2 linked regions of the Mytilus edulis genome follow. The protein of the gene in region 1 purifies or fractionates together with the protein of each later gene. This does not show direct contact. Links are inferred from orthologs where the notes say so. Each region holds a gene or a part of one and is shown in the gene's direction. Other genes may lie near its edges.

What was found.
Region 2: the proteins of gigaxonin-like (region 1) and nudC domain-containing protein 3-like purify together in Homo sapiens (co-immunoprecipitation; 3 studies listed by BioGRID and IntAct, counting the BioPlex papers as one, with this or other methods). This does not show direct contact. The link is inferred for Mytilus edulis from reciprocal best matches to the Homo sapiens genes GAN and NUDCD3.

The regions. Positions count from the first base shown.
Region 1 is NC_092348.1:15,388,201-15,395,698, forward strand, and holds the start of gigaxonin-like, read left to right. Parts: upstream 1-4,383; 5' UTR 4,384-4,471; coding exon 4,472-4,662; intron 4,663-7,498. UniProt on the Homo sapiens protein: Probable cytoskeletal component that directly or indirectly plays an important role in neurofilament architecture.
Region 2 is NC_092352.1:85,868,155-85,875,641, reverse strand, and holds the start of nudC domain-containing protein 3-like, read left to right. Parts: upstream 1-4,417; 5' UTR 4,418-4,510; coding exon 4,511-4,617; intron 4,618-7,487.

The DNA.
Region 1 (7,498 bases):
TCAGTTATAATTTAAAGAATAATGACAAGATCCCCATATAGTAAAATAAACTGTGAAGAAAATTTATGTATATATATTAGCTCAAATTTTTCCAAACCCCTACCATTTTACATAAGTCTTATAAAATATAATTTTCATTATAGTTCCTGATGTATTTATAGCACTCTTAACTAATAATTATAAGTAATTTTAATTTGAGACCATTTTAATTCTTATTTGTAAATATATGCAGTTGTCTCTTAAAATTTTCTTACAACCCAGCACATATGAATTATTATATATCTTTTAAAACTTTATGATGACAATCCATTGAATTAATTATGATATTTATCATTTAGTGATTATTATAACCAAATTCAGTCATCTGTATATAATTATTTGTTTCCTTATGTTTTAAGGTGTACATAGTTGCTAAAACTATACCCTTTGGGTAGTGCTCCACAATTAATGGAGGAATATACAAGAAACTGAACTGAACATGATCTGTCATTTATCTGAGCTTTCACATGGAATCAAAACAAAGATATACTTCTTCTACTTCTACTTCTACTATGTAATGACCGCCTTCAACACGTTGAAGTTTACGTCACTTGTACTGCGCATTGCTTTGTGAAGACATATATACAGTGAAATATACAAATTTGTGATAATAAACAAAACAAAAAATTTTTACATAGTGGTAGTGCATATTTTTAATTTATTATTTTTAAAATATTAAGATAAAACTATTTACACATGATGAATTTATGGGCTGTAGGTGTAGTTTGAGACGGCTACTTTGAACGACTCTATAGAGTCGCTCATAACAATACTCAGGGGAAGGCTGTTCCAGATTTTAATTGTGCGTGGGAAAAATGATTGTTGTCTTATTTGTGTTCTGCAGGATGGAATTTGGTATGAGAGTGTGTGCATGTTCCTGGACTGTCTGAGCGGTTGAATTAATCTGTATGTTTTTGTGATTGCAATGAGATGATATGTAATTTTATAGAACATGACCAGGCGTGCATATACAGCCCAGATAATCCTTATGCAATTGATAATCACCTAGGTTTACATAAACGTGTCTTGTCTTCGATTTGCTTTAACTGTTAAACTCTAAACTAAAAGGTTCAAGTCACGTCGGGTCCAAGAAGTTTATAATACTGAAGTGTAGATTACATGTCACTCTTACGGCAACCTTTTCTTTCTTCTGACGTTTCTTGCAACGAAAACAATTGCATGTGGAGAAACGTCACCGGAAATGTGATATTCGTATATACAAAATAGCAAGAAGCGACAAGAGGACAAATTAAGAGTAAAACAGGATGAAATATTGTATTTTTAAACTAAACTCATTGAAAAATGTACGTGTAACGTGGTGCAGAGGCGGATCTAGAGGGGACCCGCCCCCCTTTCCTGGAAAAAAATTTGGTTGATTATATTGATTTGGAGGTTCCACCGAGATCTGAACTCGGATCGCTGGATTCAGAGTCCAGAGTGCTAACCATTACACCATGTACTCTAATATATAGCTTCAGTGACATATATACAGCCCTTGCACGGTCGGTATTTAGACAGAACAAACAAATGGAAGTTTTTAACGACATTGACTGGCTAAACAGCCCTTGCACGGTCGGTATTAGTATATGTACTGCCGAAGCGAGTACCAGGGGTCTACCGCCATCTTGAATTCACGGTACAATCACAGAAACAATAGTTCTAGTTCTTTGCCGAAATCTGCAAATTTGGAGACAGATTTGCAATGTATTGGTTAAACTGTTTATTTATGTAAAGAAAACTTAGTAATTCAAAACATTTTAGAAAATATTTAAACAAATACCAAATATTTGTGGTTTTAGAATTCATTTTTCAAATAACTCCATTTAAGGGGAGATAACTATTTTTAAAAGTACAAAATTTACACTGGACATATAGGGAAATTTTATGTTTTACTTATAGCAAGAAAACAAGTTTTGTGACACCATTTTTTATTTTATTTTCTTAAAATATATTATAAAAGCTATCTTCTCATATTTTATTTTAAAGAAAGCGTGGGAACCCGTACTTTTTATCATTTATTTGAGAAAAAAAACATAATAAAATCTTCATTTTGGCAAAAAGTATGTAGCAGGAACAATTCTGCCTAAGATTCGGGGATGCGGACCACAGCTAATTCTAGTTTGTAAACTGATGTGTGCGGAAAACGCCTGATGTCAAAAGTGATGCACTATGATATATCTACAATGTAAGTAAATGAAACCAAAAACTGAAAACAATATATAATTTAATTAACAAAGTACAACTTTTATTATGTAAAGCCAAAAGTGTAGAAATGGAGCATTCAATATGATTTCAAATTACCATACTAAGGAGGCATGTAGCAAATGCACTAACCTAATGGATACTTGGTTGGAAAGCCTGGCTTTCCTTGGTTGGACTGAATGTCAGTCCTCAGAGGATTCAACATAATAATTTCAAATCAATTATCTAAAATATATAAGTCTTTCGCAGAAGGTAATCAAAGGTTTTGCGACGATGCAAATATTAAACTTTACAATATAAATAAATATCTTTTAAGCTGGGGTCACACATTCACGATTTTTACTGCCGTCCTTGACAGGACCATTCCCGATTAAAATTTGTCAAAAGTCTGATCAAGATCCTGTGAATCGTGGATGGACATTCGATTTGTATCTTTCGCCAGGTAAAATTCGACCGAGTCTGTCACGACTGCGTCCCGATTCTACCGAATGTAATCCGACAGAGATCAGATAGTGACAAGACAGTGAACCGACGCTTACGGGAGTTATCCGTTCGAAAACTGTCGGCATAATCGGGATGATCAGGTACTGTCGGAACGTAATCCTATCACGGTCCGCTCTATCGCATTGCAAACGGCTTTGTCTGGTCTCAGTCGTATTGTATTCTGTTATTGTCGGGACTTCTCCAGATCATTCCCGTTCCACAGGACACCGTCCGGAATACACAGAACATTGTTAGGAATTCGATCCGATACAGCAGAATCTGTCACGACATAGGCACGATTGTAATCTGACTAGACAAAATCGGCTGAGTTTCCCCGAATGTTACGGGACGCACCTAACTGTCGGGGTGCTTTGCCGAACTATTCGGACCCTTCCCGACCAGTAGGAATCTGTTACGAACTAAAACGACTGCGTTCAGACAATAATAGGACATTCCAGATAATTGAGGATACTAATCCGACTTTTTCACTTTTCGTGCCGTATCGCTGTCTGATCTCAAACGGGAGCAATAATCGGCAATGTGTGAACCCCGCATAACCAATTAATTCAAATACCAAAATCTTTGCAATTTAACAAATACAAGTACACACCCGTGATATCGCGTTAGTTATCTTAGAAAGTCTTGCTGATTGCTGAATAAAACTACAATAGAGAACAATTTGACAATGATTGAATTTAGTAGTGTCAGCCTTTTGATTATGACCCGTGTATATAACAAAATCCTAAATACACCGTTTGGTGGTGCGCCTGTCAAATGCGGAACGTACAGATAAGGTAATAGCCAACAGGTGAATATACTATTGGTATCGGATTCGACCCGGAACTTGTTAATTATTGGCAATATTAATTATGTGGAAAACAAAAGGGTCTGGAGTGGTGTAATTTTTAATCTACACCATTGTCCTATATTAGTTCTATATAGAGTTGAATTCTTTGATTTGTCGTTTTTACCCGATGACGTCTGACAAATTGGACCTCGTAATTTTAGTATTATAGATATACTCAAGGATTTGTATAGTAACTTACTATACAAATCCTTGATATACTGAATAAGCTTCATGTAAATCATTAAATAAGGAAATTCTCAGATCTGCAGTGACATCACAACATGTAACTGACCAATCAATGATTAGAATTTGTGTTATATAAACAATGTTGAGAGGTGATGCAGATAAGAATCCTCTTGATTTTCCATAGACTTCAATGCAAATTAATTTAATTGATATATATTGACACCAGTTGAATCTAGTAATTTTACCCACTTAATGTTTTTAAAGACACTATATAATATCTCCATTTTGATTTTTATCATACTATATCCTCTGGTTAAAAAATAATCAACAATATAAATAATCAGTTATCACCTTCAAATAGATGAAAAATCTAGAGGAATCCTATCTGCATCACCCCTTGAAAAATTTTAATGCCAGGATGTCCGGATCTGAGAATATGAAATTTATAGTTTTAAACAAGGGAAATAATACTAACATAATAATCCTAACTGCCACAAGTATAAGAAAATTCTGTCATTGTTTTTCTATACCCCTGAACTACCTTAAAATCTAAAATGTAAAAAAAAAAATGAAAAAAAATCGTAAAATAAGAGGATCATCACTTTACTGTAGAAAAACCTAAAACTGGTTTTCGGTTGATTAAAAGCGGATTGTCGAAGAAAGTCAATCGTCTCTAATATTATGAAACCAGCTTTGTACTGTAACAGCTGAGAGATGGATGTCGAAGCTGGAACTTCGACGACAACTCCACAAAGCTTTTCAACTGACCGTCATGCAAAGAAAATTTTAACAGCTTTAAATGAAAATAGAAGGCTACTACGCTTTTGTGATGGCACTGTTGTTTTAAATGGTTCAAAAATACCTGTCCAAAAGAATGTTCTTGCTGCAGCAAGTCACTATTTTCGGTACTATTTTGTATAAATTTGTATCTGAATCTCCCCAACATTCCTGAGAATAACTAAGCATTTGTCTGCTATTTACAGAACACACAGGAATAATTGGGTTTGAGTCGTCTTTTAACAACTCCTCATGCATGTATAGTCACTTCACTATAGTACGGTAGTGACCTATATTCGTGGATATAAGACTATTCACACGGAATGCGGTAAAACTAAAAAACAACAATTTGTTTTATATGTCCATAATGTTACCTTAGAACTTCATTAAAATAATACAAGTTAGTTTGATTCTTACCGTTAGCTAGTTTTTTTTATATGACCTACATTTCTAGTGTACACAAATCGGCATATGATGCCAAGTACGTCACCTATTTTCGTGGGAAAAGTTCGTTCTAAAAATAACACAAGAAGAACACACAGTATGGAAGCCCAGTGGTGAGCATATAATTGTAATTTCATACAAGCATATTTTTGTACATTTTCAGATCAGTGAAACTAAATAAAACATTGTTTAAAGACAAAGTATTTTATTTTATTTTATTGAGCCTGAAAATCTTTAAAAAAAATAAAAAAATTGAAACACCAAATGATTTTTTTTTCAACTTTTTAAATATTATTAAAATAATTATAAGTAACAGATTTAAAAGTTATTTTACTTCCCATTAATTATATAAAAAAAATAATCTTAGGCTACAGTTTAGTCATTTTTTCCCTTTGGAATCATGATTATTTCCCCCCCAGAAGATAAAGTTCACATTTATTAAAATCAAGCAAATGTTCACTACTCAAAAGTAGTCCAACTGTTAATACAGAACTGTCAATAGTAAATGGTAAATATAAATAAAACTGAAAGCAGTCCAATAATTTACAAATGTATATATCATAATTGCTATTTTCAGTTTCTTTCTGCTTATTTTTCTGCCATTTAAGTTGAACCTGTAAATAATAAAAAATGAAAATTAATTATTTTGTGATACAAAAATCTTCTATTTTTTTTTCAAACAAAACAAATAAATACACCATTAGTTAAAACTGTTTATACAAATCCTTTTTAAAACTCAGTTATCGACGTTAGTTGAACTTAATTTACAAGAATTGTGCTAAATAACTCCTTTTTGAAGTTCATTTGATTAACCAAAAGTCATCTTTTATTGTTAAAATTCATCTAAAACATATAAGAATATGACACTGATTGCGTTCCATAGATTTTTTTGGCTGACAGGGAATCTCCTTGTTTATCATGTGATATTGTTCATTAGAAAGTAGCGTAATCAAACAACACGTGGATTTGGGATTATAGCTTGGGAATAAAGTTATTGAGGTCGTTGGAAATAAGACAAATAAAGAAATAAGTAAAATCAGCCATTTTGTTTATTAAATAAATAAGTAATAAGTCTTACCTTGCTTGAAACGTCGCGATTCATTTTTGTAAGTTGTTGTTGTAGGGATATCCTATAGCAATCAAATCATGCCATTGATGACGTCATAACAATAACACGCATGCGAGATATTTAGGATTTCCGGAAGTCCACGAACTTGTGTATCCACGAAATTAGGTGACTAGACTGTATATACTATCTAGAGTCTTCTTGAGTCATGTCAGTTAAACATGCTAAAGTACTATAGATGGCATTTAGGAACATATAAGTCATATAAATACCGTTAGTCAGCCTGAATTTTAGTCAAATCAGGACTGGTAAAGTCAAATTTGCACCTGGTTAATTGGCACCCATACTAAATTTATTGAATATACATTTTTTGTACATGATATATGGTCAGATCATATGTTTTCACACGGCATATATTTTCGTACCATGCATGCTTTTTCAATGGAAATGGTGATGTCATAAGGCACTCTTAATATAACGAAAACCCATGAGACGATGATACATGTATGGTCAGATCCTACGCTTTTGATGTCATATGGCTTCGTACTACATGTAACAGTATACATGCTTTTTCAATGGAAAGTGTGACGCCACTATGCATTTTAACAGCTCTAATACCCATGAGACTAGGTCTTATATTGGTATCATGTTATCGTTGGCCGCGTCTTCTGAAGACACTTAGTTTAACAAAAAATTGAATTTTTGGGGTTCCTTGATGTTGAATCTAAACATGTATTTAGATTTTTGATTATGGACCCAGTTTTCAAGTTGGTCCAAATCAGGGTCCAAAATTAAAGATGTTTTTTTTCATCTAATAACTTATTTATCGATTTCTTAATTTGCCTTTGCTTTTCAAGTCCCAAAAAATAGGCATTACTTCTTTTGATACCAAAAACTACTTGAATAGTTAACCTATTGACAAAGATACAGCTATGCATAGGAACTACATGACTTTTGTATTTTGTTAAAAAATATGTACCACTTTCTTGCATGTTATTACCAACTGGGGCAAAATTAGTGGTTCTGTGACCCTACAACATTAACAAAAATAAAAAGATGACAAGCGTCAGAAATTTTAGTCACATGCTATACAGTTTGTGAGTTTCAAAAAAATATATATATGTAATATAAATATATGTCTTAAATATTGTCATGATTGTTACTCAGTGTTTCTGTACTTAAACACATCATGCACAATGACATAAAATAAGTACTTTCCAAAATTACAAATTTCCTTAGTGCAAAATGCAGTGTTTTCAACCATACATTAAAATACTACATGACTGAAGTGTCAAATAAACTAATAGAAATAACTGTGTTGAGGTATAATAAGGATGACATCTTTTTCCTTATACCATGGTGGTATCGGGATCGTTCGCCCTGATTACATGTTCGCCCTAGGTTCGTTCGCACTGAGTTTGTTCGCCCTGGTAATCCGTTCGCCCTGGGTTCGT
Region 2 (7,487 bases), on another chromosome or scaffold:
TCTAAAAAATAAAAGGGATAGAATTAGGATAGAATTCAAAAAGTAAAATCACAAAAATACTGAACCTAGAGGAAAATTAATTTGGAAAGTCCATAATCACATGGCAATTTCAAATAACAAAACGCATAAAAAACGAATGGACAAGAACTGTCATATACCTGACTTGGTACAGGCATTTTCAAATGTAGAAAATTGTGGATTATAGTGCTAACCCTTTCACTTTGATGACAGTCTCATCAAATTTCGTTATATTTACATTGATGCGCTAACTATTAAACAGACACAATAAATAAATAGTTAAAATATGGGTACATCAGTCATCATCGTATAACAATTTTAAAATGGACAATTTAACAGAACACAAAAACTTCTATCTACAAACACATTCATTGATTTGTGTGTCTGACGTCAGAAAATTTTATACGTCACATAAATTTGTCGTTCAATGTGCATGCAAACAATTTTCAAACAAAATTTTAAAATTTACATAGGCAATGTTAGCATATAGGGTTAAAAAACAAAAGTTTTTAAGAATAAATATCAGAAATAGACCGAGATTGAAAATAGTCCAAAAGTTATGTATAGAATTTATAAAAATCCACAAATAGTTAATTCCACTATCAGTCATCATCGTATAACAATTTTAAAGGAACTATTTAACAGAAAACTGTAGCAGGAACAATTCTGCTGAAGATTCGGGGATGCGGACCACAGCTTGGTCTGGTTTGTGAATTTAATTGTACGGAAACGACTGATGCCAAATGTAATGCGCTAAAGTATATCTGAGTAAATAAAAACCAAAAACAGTGAAAACAATATATAATTTAATCAACAAAGTACAACTTTTATTATGTAGAGCCAAATGTATGAAGAAATGGAGCATTCAATTATTTCATATTACCCGGGCTGTGGAGGTATGTAGCTAACGCACTAACCTTAACGGTAGTTGGAAAGTTTAGCTTTCCTTGGTTGGACTGACAATCAGTCCTCAGAATATTCGACACAATAATCAAATACCAGTTATATAAAATATATTTATATATAAATTTCTCACAGAAGGTAACCAAAGATTTTGCAACGATGCAAATATCAAACTTTACAATACAAATAAATATCTTTAACCAATGAATTCAAATAGCAAAAGCTATGCGATTTAACAAATATGTACTGAATAAGCTTCATGTAAATCCTTAAATAAAGAAATATGAAATTTATAGTTTTAAAAAAGGGAAATAATAATAACATAATAATCCCAACTGCCACAAAACAAAAACAGCTATCTACAAACACATTCATTGATTTGAGTGTCTGACGTCAGAAAATTTTATACGTCACATAAATATTTCGTTCAATGTGCATGCAAATAATTTTAAGATTTACATAGGCAATGTTAGCATATAGGGTTAAAAAATCAAAAGTATGTAAGATATGGTGTGTAATACTGCTATAGCATTTATTATTTACAATGAAAATTACAATGCTTATAAATATAAAATTGTAACAAAGCATATTTTCAAGGGCTTTAAATTAAAGCAACAGTTACGGTAGTTTATCGATGTTTAAATATCCTAAATCGATCAAGAAGAGGCAAATTAAGGTAAAACACAAAAAGGGGGAATCCGATATACTAAGAATATAACTGATCAAGACCGTGTCAGTGAACAGGGTAAACACCTCCTGCTATGCATGCATCGCCCACCATGCACGTATGTATACACTGTCAAAATGTCATAACCGGAAAATTACAAAACGACTATATACTGGTATCTAGTTTCTAAAACTCACAAAATCTGAATTCCTCAATTTACATCTAAAATTTCTCGTGAACATCCAAGGTCTAAAAGCGCAGGAAAAGGAATGAAGAAATGGGACATTTAAAACAAACAAGTCGAAAAACATTAAAAAGAAAACTTGCGCCTGAGCAGCACGAATCCTTACCAAAAACCGAGGGTGATTATCCGGCATCAGATTATTAGGACCGGTCCACATGTGGAACCCATCGTGTTGCTCGTGTAGTAAGTCAGCAAAATATATAAATGTCACAATCGAAATAAAAGAGGACATAGCTGTATTTTCGACTATTGGAACAATAAGTTGTCATGTTACCAAATTGTCAACCAGCTGATGGTGTCCACAAAATTCTATGTTATTTAATTGGTTATCAAAGGTACCAGGATTATAATTTAGTACGCCAGACGCGCGTTTCGTCTACATAAGACTCATCAGTGACGCTCATATCAAAATATTTATAAAGCCAAACAAGTACAAAGTTGAAGAGCATTGAGGATCAAAAATTCCAAAAAGTTGTGCCAAATACGGCTAAAGTGATCTGTAACTGGGATTAGCACTCTTCTATAAAGACAGTCACTACCATCGTTCCATTTGTTATGAGGCCTGAATTTACAAAATTTTTGTATTGAAGAACACCATGAAATCGAAATGTAGAGGTCTTGAAATATTTGAAGTCAAATTATCATGGTAGTTTTACTGAGTCAGGAATATGACAATTGTTGACAATCGTTTGATGGGTTTGAGCTTTTGATTTTGCTATTTGATTATTAAAGGACTTTGCGTTTTGAATTTTCCTCTGAACGCAGTATTTTGGTGATTTTAATTTTTCCCACTTCCCACACACCTGAGACTACTATTATAGATTATAGTAGTCTCAGCACATCCCTTGCAATTCTATGTCTCATTGTTCTATTTATCTAACCTACTGATTATTCACTCACCCAATTCATCAATTGCAACTATTCATAATAGCTCTACTGCAAGGCCAGATTATCTCATACACCGACATTCTGCCTCTCTCACTCTCCCATTAACACTGTCTCTCACTCATTCACGAACACATTCGGCAAAACACTTGCACAGGCATTTTTTTTATTTGCAACCACCCACATATTCAATTGTCAATCTTTCATTATTCCACTTTCCCAGTTAATCTCTTGCCCAACTTTCTAACAATTAAAATGGCTATAAAAATACAAAAGTTCTACTCCCTCAGGACAGTCCATCGGATAGGACACAACATTCTAACATTTTCTAAGAACGGTTGGTATCCATCCATTCCGTTTTACTGTACTTGAACTGAATGAATTTATGAATGCCCATGCTACATCGATCTTTAAAGACCGATTACATGTGTGCCAATCAGCTGTCCTATACTTCCAGGATAAATACGTGGTTGTCCCCGCATATAAAACCGTAAAGAGTTAAAGTAAATAAAATGACAATTCACATGGAAATCAATATATTCCCGTGACACTCGACTAGTTGGAAATTCTGATTAATCATAGATCTTTCTATAGAAATTTCAATCAAAGACTAATAATTAACTGGATCTTCTTTTACTGTATTGAATACGTTAAGAATATACGGTGAGGTTTTGGAATTTGTGTCAAATGTTCGGACTCCTTGGGTTTTTTTCTTTACAATACAATGGAAAATATTTTGCCCCATAACACTCACTTATTTTTTCATATAAGACTAAATAGCTGATGAAAGGTCATTTAGCAAAATTTTAAAAGATTCTTGATTTTCTTTCTTTTGTTTGAGACCCAAATAATACCAATGCAAATATAAGGTAAAAGTCTGAGTCAGCCTTTTCCCGACATATTCTAAATCTCAAATCAGTGGCGGATCCAGAACTTTTCATAAGGGGGGCCCGCTGACTGACCTAAGAGGGGGGGGCTCCAGTCATGCTTCAGTGATTCCCTATATAATCAACCAAATTTTTCCCACAAGGGGGGGGGGGGGGGGGGCGGGGGGGCATGATCCGCCTATGCAAATATCTCGAAAAGGAGGTCCATGACCTATCCAGGTTCCAGATAATGTATGATATTCAACAAACTTATCATATAATTTGTCTTGTCTTGATAATATCAAATAATTTAATTTTGGATGTAACGCGTCTTCTGATTGGCTGACGTTATTTTTTTATCAGCCCATAGACATAATTTAGTCATGTAACCGTGAAGTCATCAACGTTTTTTCATGGTTTTCGAAATAACATAAAATAAAATGTAGAGCACACTGTTAAATAACCCGCTACGCGCGTTATTCACCAAATTTTTTATGTTATTTCTTCATAGACAGAAAAAGTATTACAGTCATTCCTTAAATAATTTCAGTACTGAAATATCCATCTTTACTAGTCACTCATTACATAGTACATAAAGTAACTGTCGATGTTTTCAGGGGCGGATGCAGGAATTTTCGAAAGGGGGGGGGTGCTAACCCAGGGCACCCAGGGCAAAGGGGGGTGCAAAACATATGTCCCGATACAAATGCATTGATCGGCAAAAATAAAGGGGGGTGCGCACCCCCGGAACCCCCCCCCCCCCCCCCACCCCTGGATCCGCCACTGGTTTTGAAGTGATCCATGGTTACTTACGAGTGCTCCTTTTAGGAGGAACGTATATGGAACAATAACAATGACCGTTGATACACGGGTGTCTTTCCCCGTTAGTGTGTTGTCCGTTAAAAAATAAAAATAAGACGAATTACGATGGACGATAAAAACCAACAATATGATAACCTTTTGATTGGAATTCTTCAAAATGAAGGCAATATTTCTGGATTTCTTGACGCGGTATTTGGTTTTTTGTTTAGAAGGTTTGCATAAATATTTTTTTTTATCTTTTTGGCAACATCATATAACACAGGCACTTGTTTCCTTGCTTCTATCCATAGGAAGGTCGATTATGGATAGTGGACCTTCCTATGGGTAGAAACAAGTGCCTGTGCATCATAGCCTGCATAAGTATAGCAATCACTTTTCAGTTCATTTGCAGATCTGATCAGGAGCTCTTGTGGTTTGTTTTTGACAATTTGCAGTCCATACATGTAGTTCTTAAATAACTAGTTAAAATACTCAAATTGTCAAAAAAAAAATATAATAAATTTTGGGCAAAGAGCTACAGAAGGAAGAAACACTTAAAAAAAATGCATATGATTCAATATGATTTTGTGGTTATTCAACATTAAATTGATTAATAATATTTTTTTTCAATCTGTTCAAAATAAATACTAATCTACAATGTACATGATCTAATCATAAAAAGTTTGATTTAAAAAAAAAAAAGTATTGTTCCTGTCAAAATTTGCAATTTTTAGTTTTTGTTTAGTTATAGAATACTTAAATGACTTATAAGAAGGCATACATATATAAACATGGTGACATCCCATTAGTCCGACAGCCATTATTACGACAGCCCTTTACTCCGACAGCCCACTATTCCGACAGCCCATTACTCCGACAGCCTATTATTCCGACAACCCATTACCCTGAAAGCCCATTATTTCGACAATGCATTTTTCTTATGTGTATGGGTAAATTTTCTCTAAAAAGACCAACTCCGTTCTCTATGATATGTGTGGTTGTCCGTCTTGATTACAATTATTCTTTTCATGCGGGATATTTGTCTCAGTATATTGGAGTTGATACACATGCTTATAGCAACTGCTCAGTCCTTACCCTCGTCCCACTTTCGTTTTACATGTCTAGGTACTTTATTTATATTTATATTTCGTTGTTTGTGTGTCACAACCGTCTGTGCTGTTCTAGTTCGCTATTTTTTGCATGTTCGTCTTGGTCTACCTTCTTTAACTAGATCTTCGGTTTCTGCTTTTCATGTATCAGGGGAGTGAGGTTTCCCCCACTATTAACAGTCAGGGGACTTACTGAAATAAGTGATTTTTAAATCACTTGTTTGAGTAGCAAATTCGAAGTTTTGTCACAAATTGTGATTTTGTAGTTTTACCAAAATTTTAAACACATAGGTTTAAAAAATATCTTTTCATTAGTAAAATTGAAAAAAAATATGTATTTTTTCCTTCTTTTAAGTATCAAGGTTTATGCCTTTGATGCTTTCATTTAGCTGCAAATTCTATTTTAGTTGAAAAAATACTATAATAATGGCTTTACATAATGAACTGATACTTTCTTAACAGATTTTTCCCAGGAGTGGGAGTATTTTTCCTGTAAAGTTCAAGGTTTTATCTTTCAGATTATGTAATAAAATTCTACTGTTCCCAATAAAAATTTCACTGTTCAGGGGTGTTGAAATTAGTGGGGGTTGTATAAAACAATGATACTTAAAAAAGTGATTTTTGGGAAGGAAATTGAGGTATGATACTTAAACAAGTGATTTTTATGTCATTATGTAGATTCAGTACAAGGTCATCACCTGAAATGACCTGGTCATCCTAGACAACACAGATGTTGGTTCTGATAAGTTTAGAAACATAATTAGTCCCTGGATCATTAGTATTCTATATTTAAAGCTACAGTAAAATTAAATCACTTCTTCTAGTGATTATTTTGTACTACTTAATTAGGTGATTATTAAAGAAAGACAACTCTTACTTTCAACCTTTATGGAAATAATGTTACTTGAATCAGTGATTTAGAAAATCACTCATTTAAGTAAGTCCCCTGACTGATTAACTACATAAATGAATATATCGGAGTTGGATAACACTATCCGCCCTCTTTGGTTGCAACACTTTCTCTCCTTGTATAACGCATCTGAGTTTTATTTAAATTAATTTTGTAGCAGAAATAACGGACTAATGTAGCGTCAGTCAGTCTGTCAGTCAAAATGGGAAAAACAAAGAGACAAATACATAACCAGATCTGTAAAAATAAGAATACAAACAGGACAAAATATGTGCTCAGAAAAGATGAGCAATTCCAATTAAATGTATGAATACGGTAACATGTTCGGGAATGTGAATCCACGATATACGGAGATACAATGTAGTGCACAGCACTTCCAATAGCGATTGATCAGACATAGTCTGGGAGATGAAACTCAATATATTTGTAGGGATACCGATTTTATACCCTGAGCTTATTTTGAAATCTAGAAAAATATGTCTCTTTTATTATGGTTGGTGGAGATGCAGGAATGATGATTTACAACAAAACTTATTACGAAAAACAAATATGACGGACATGAATATTTCGGCAACTTCTATCTAAATATTTATAAGGAAAAGTGATATCGGGTCAGTGAAATTCAATGTACATGTATATGTCATAGAAATATACAGTCAACGCATTTTGACTGCTCAAATCGAATGAGTACAGTATAAAAGCCAAAAACAAACTAGTAAAAAATCTAAGATAATGTGTGACATTCTTGTACCTCTTGTCTTTGACAAATTGTCTAATTTTAAAAACTTAGTACATTATGTGTTTTGTTGGAAACTTGACACTTGTTTTTCTTTTGAAGATTGTTTTCAAGAAGAAAGAAATGTTTAGATATTATTGATTTTAAGAAAGGTAGTTCATATCTTAATTCAGAATCGGTGCTCTTCCATTACATTAAGAATTGAAAATGCTAGATACTAAAAAAATTGTATTGTACAGCTGATAAAGTTGAGGATGAGCGTCATTTTTCAATCCAATGCTCACTTCATAATAATTTGAGGGAGGAACTCTTTCACCATATTTCTAGCACATGTAAGAACTTTAAAAA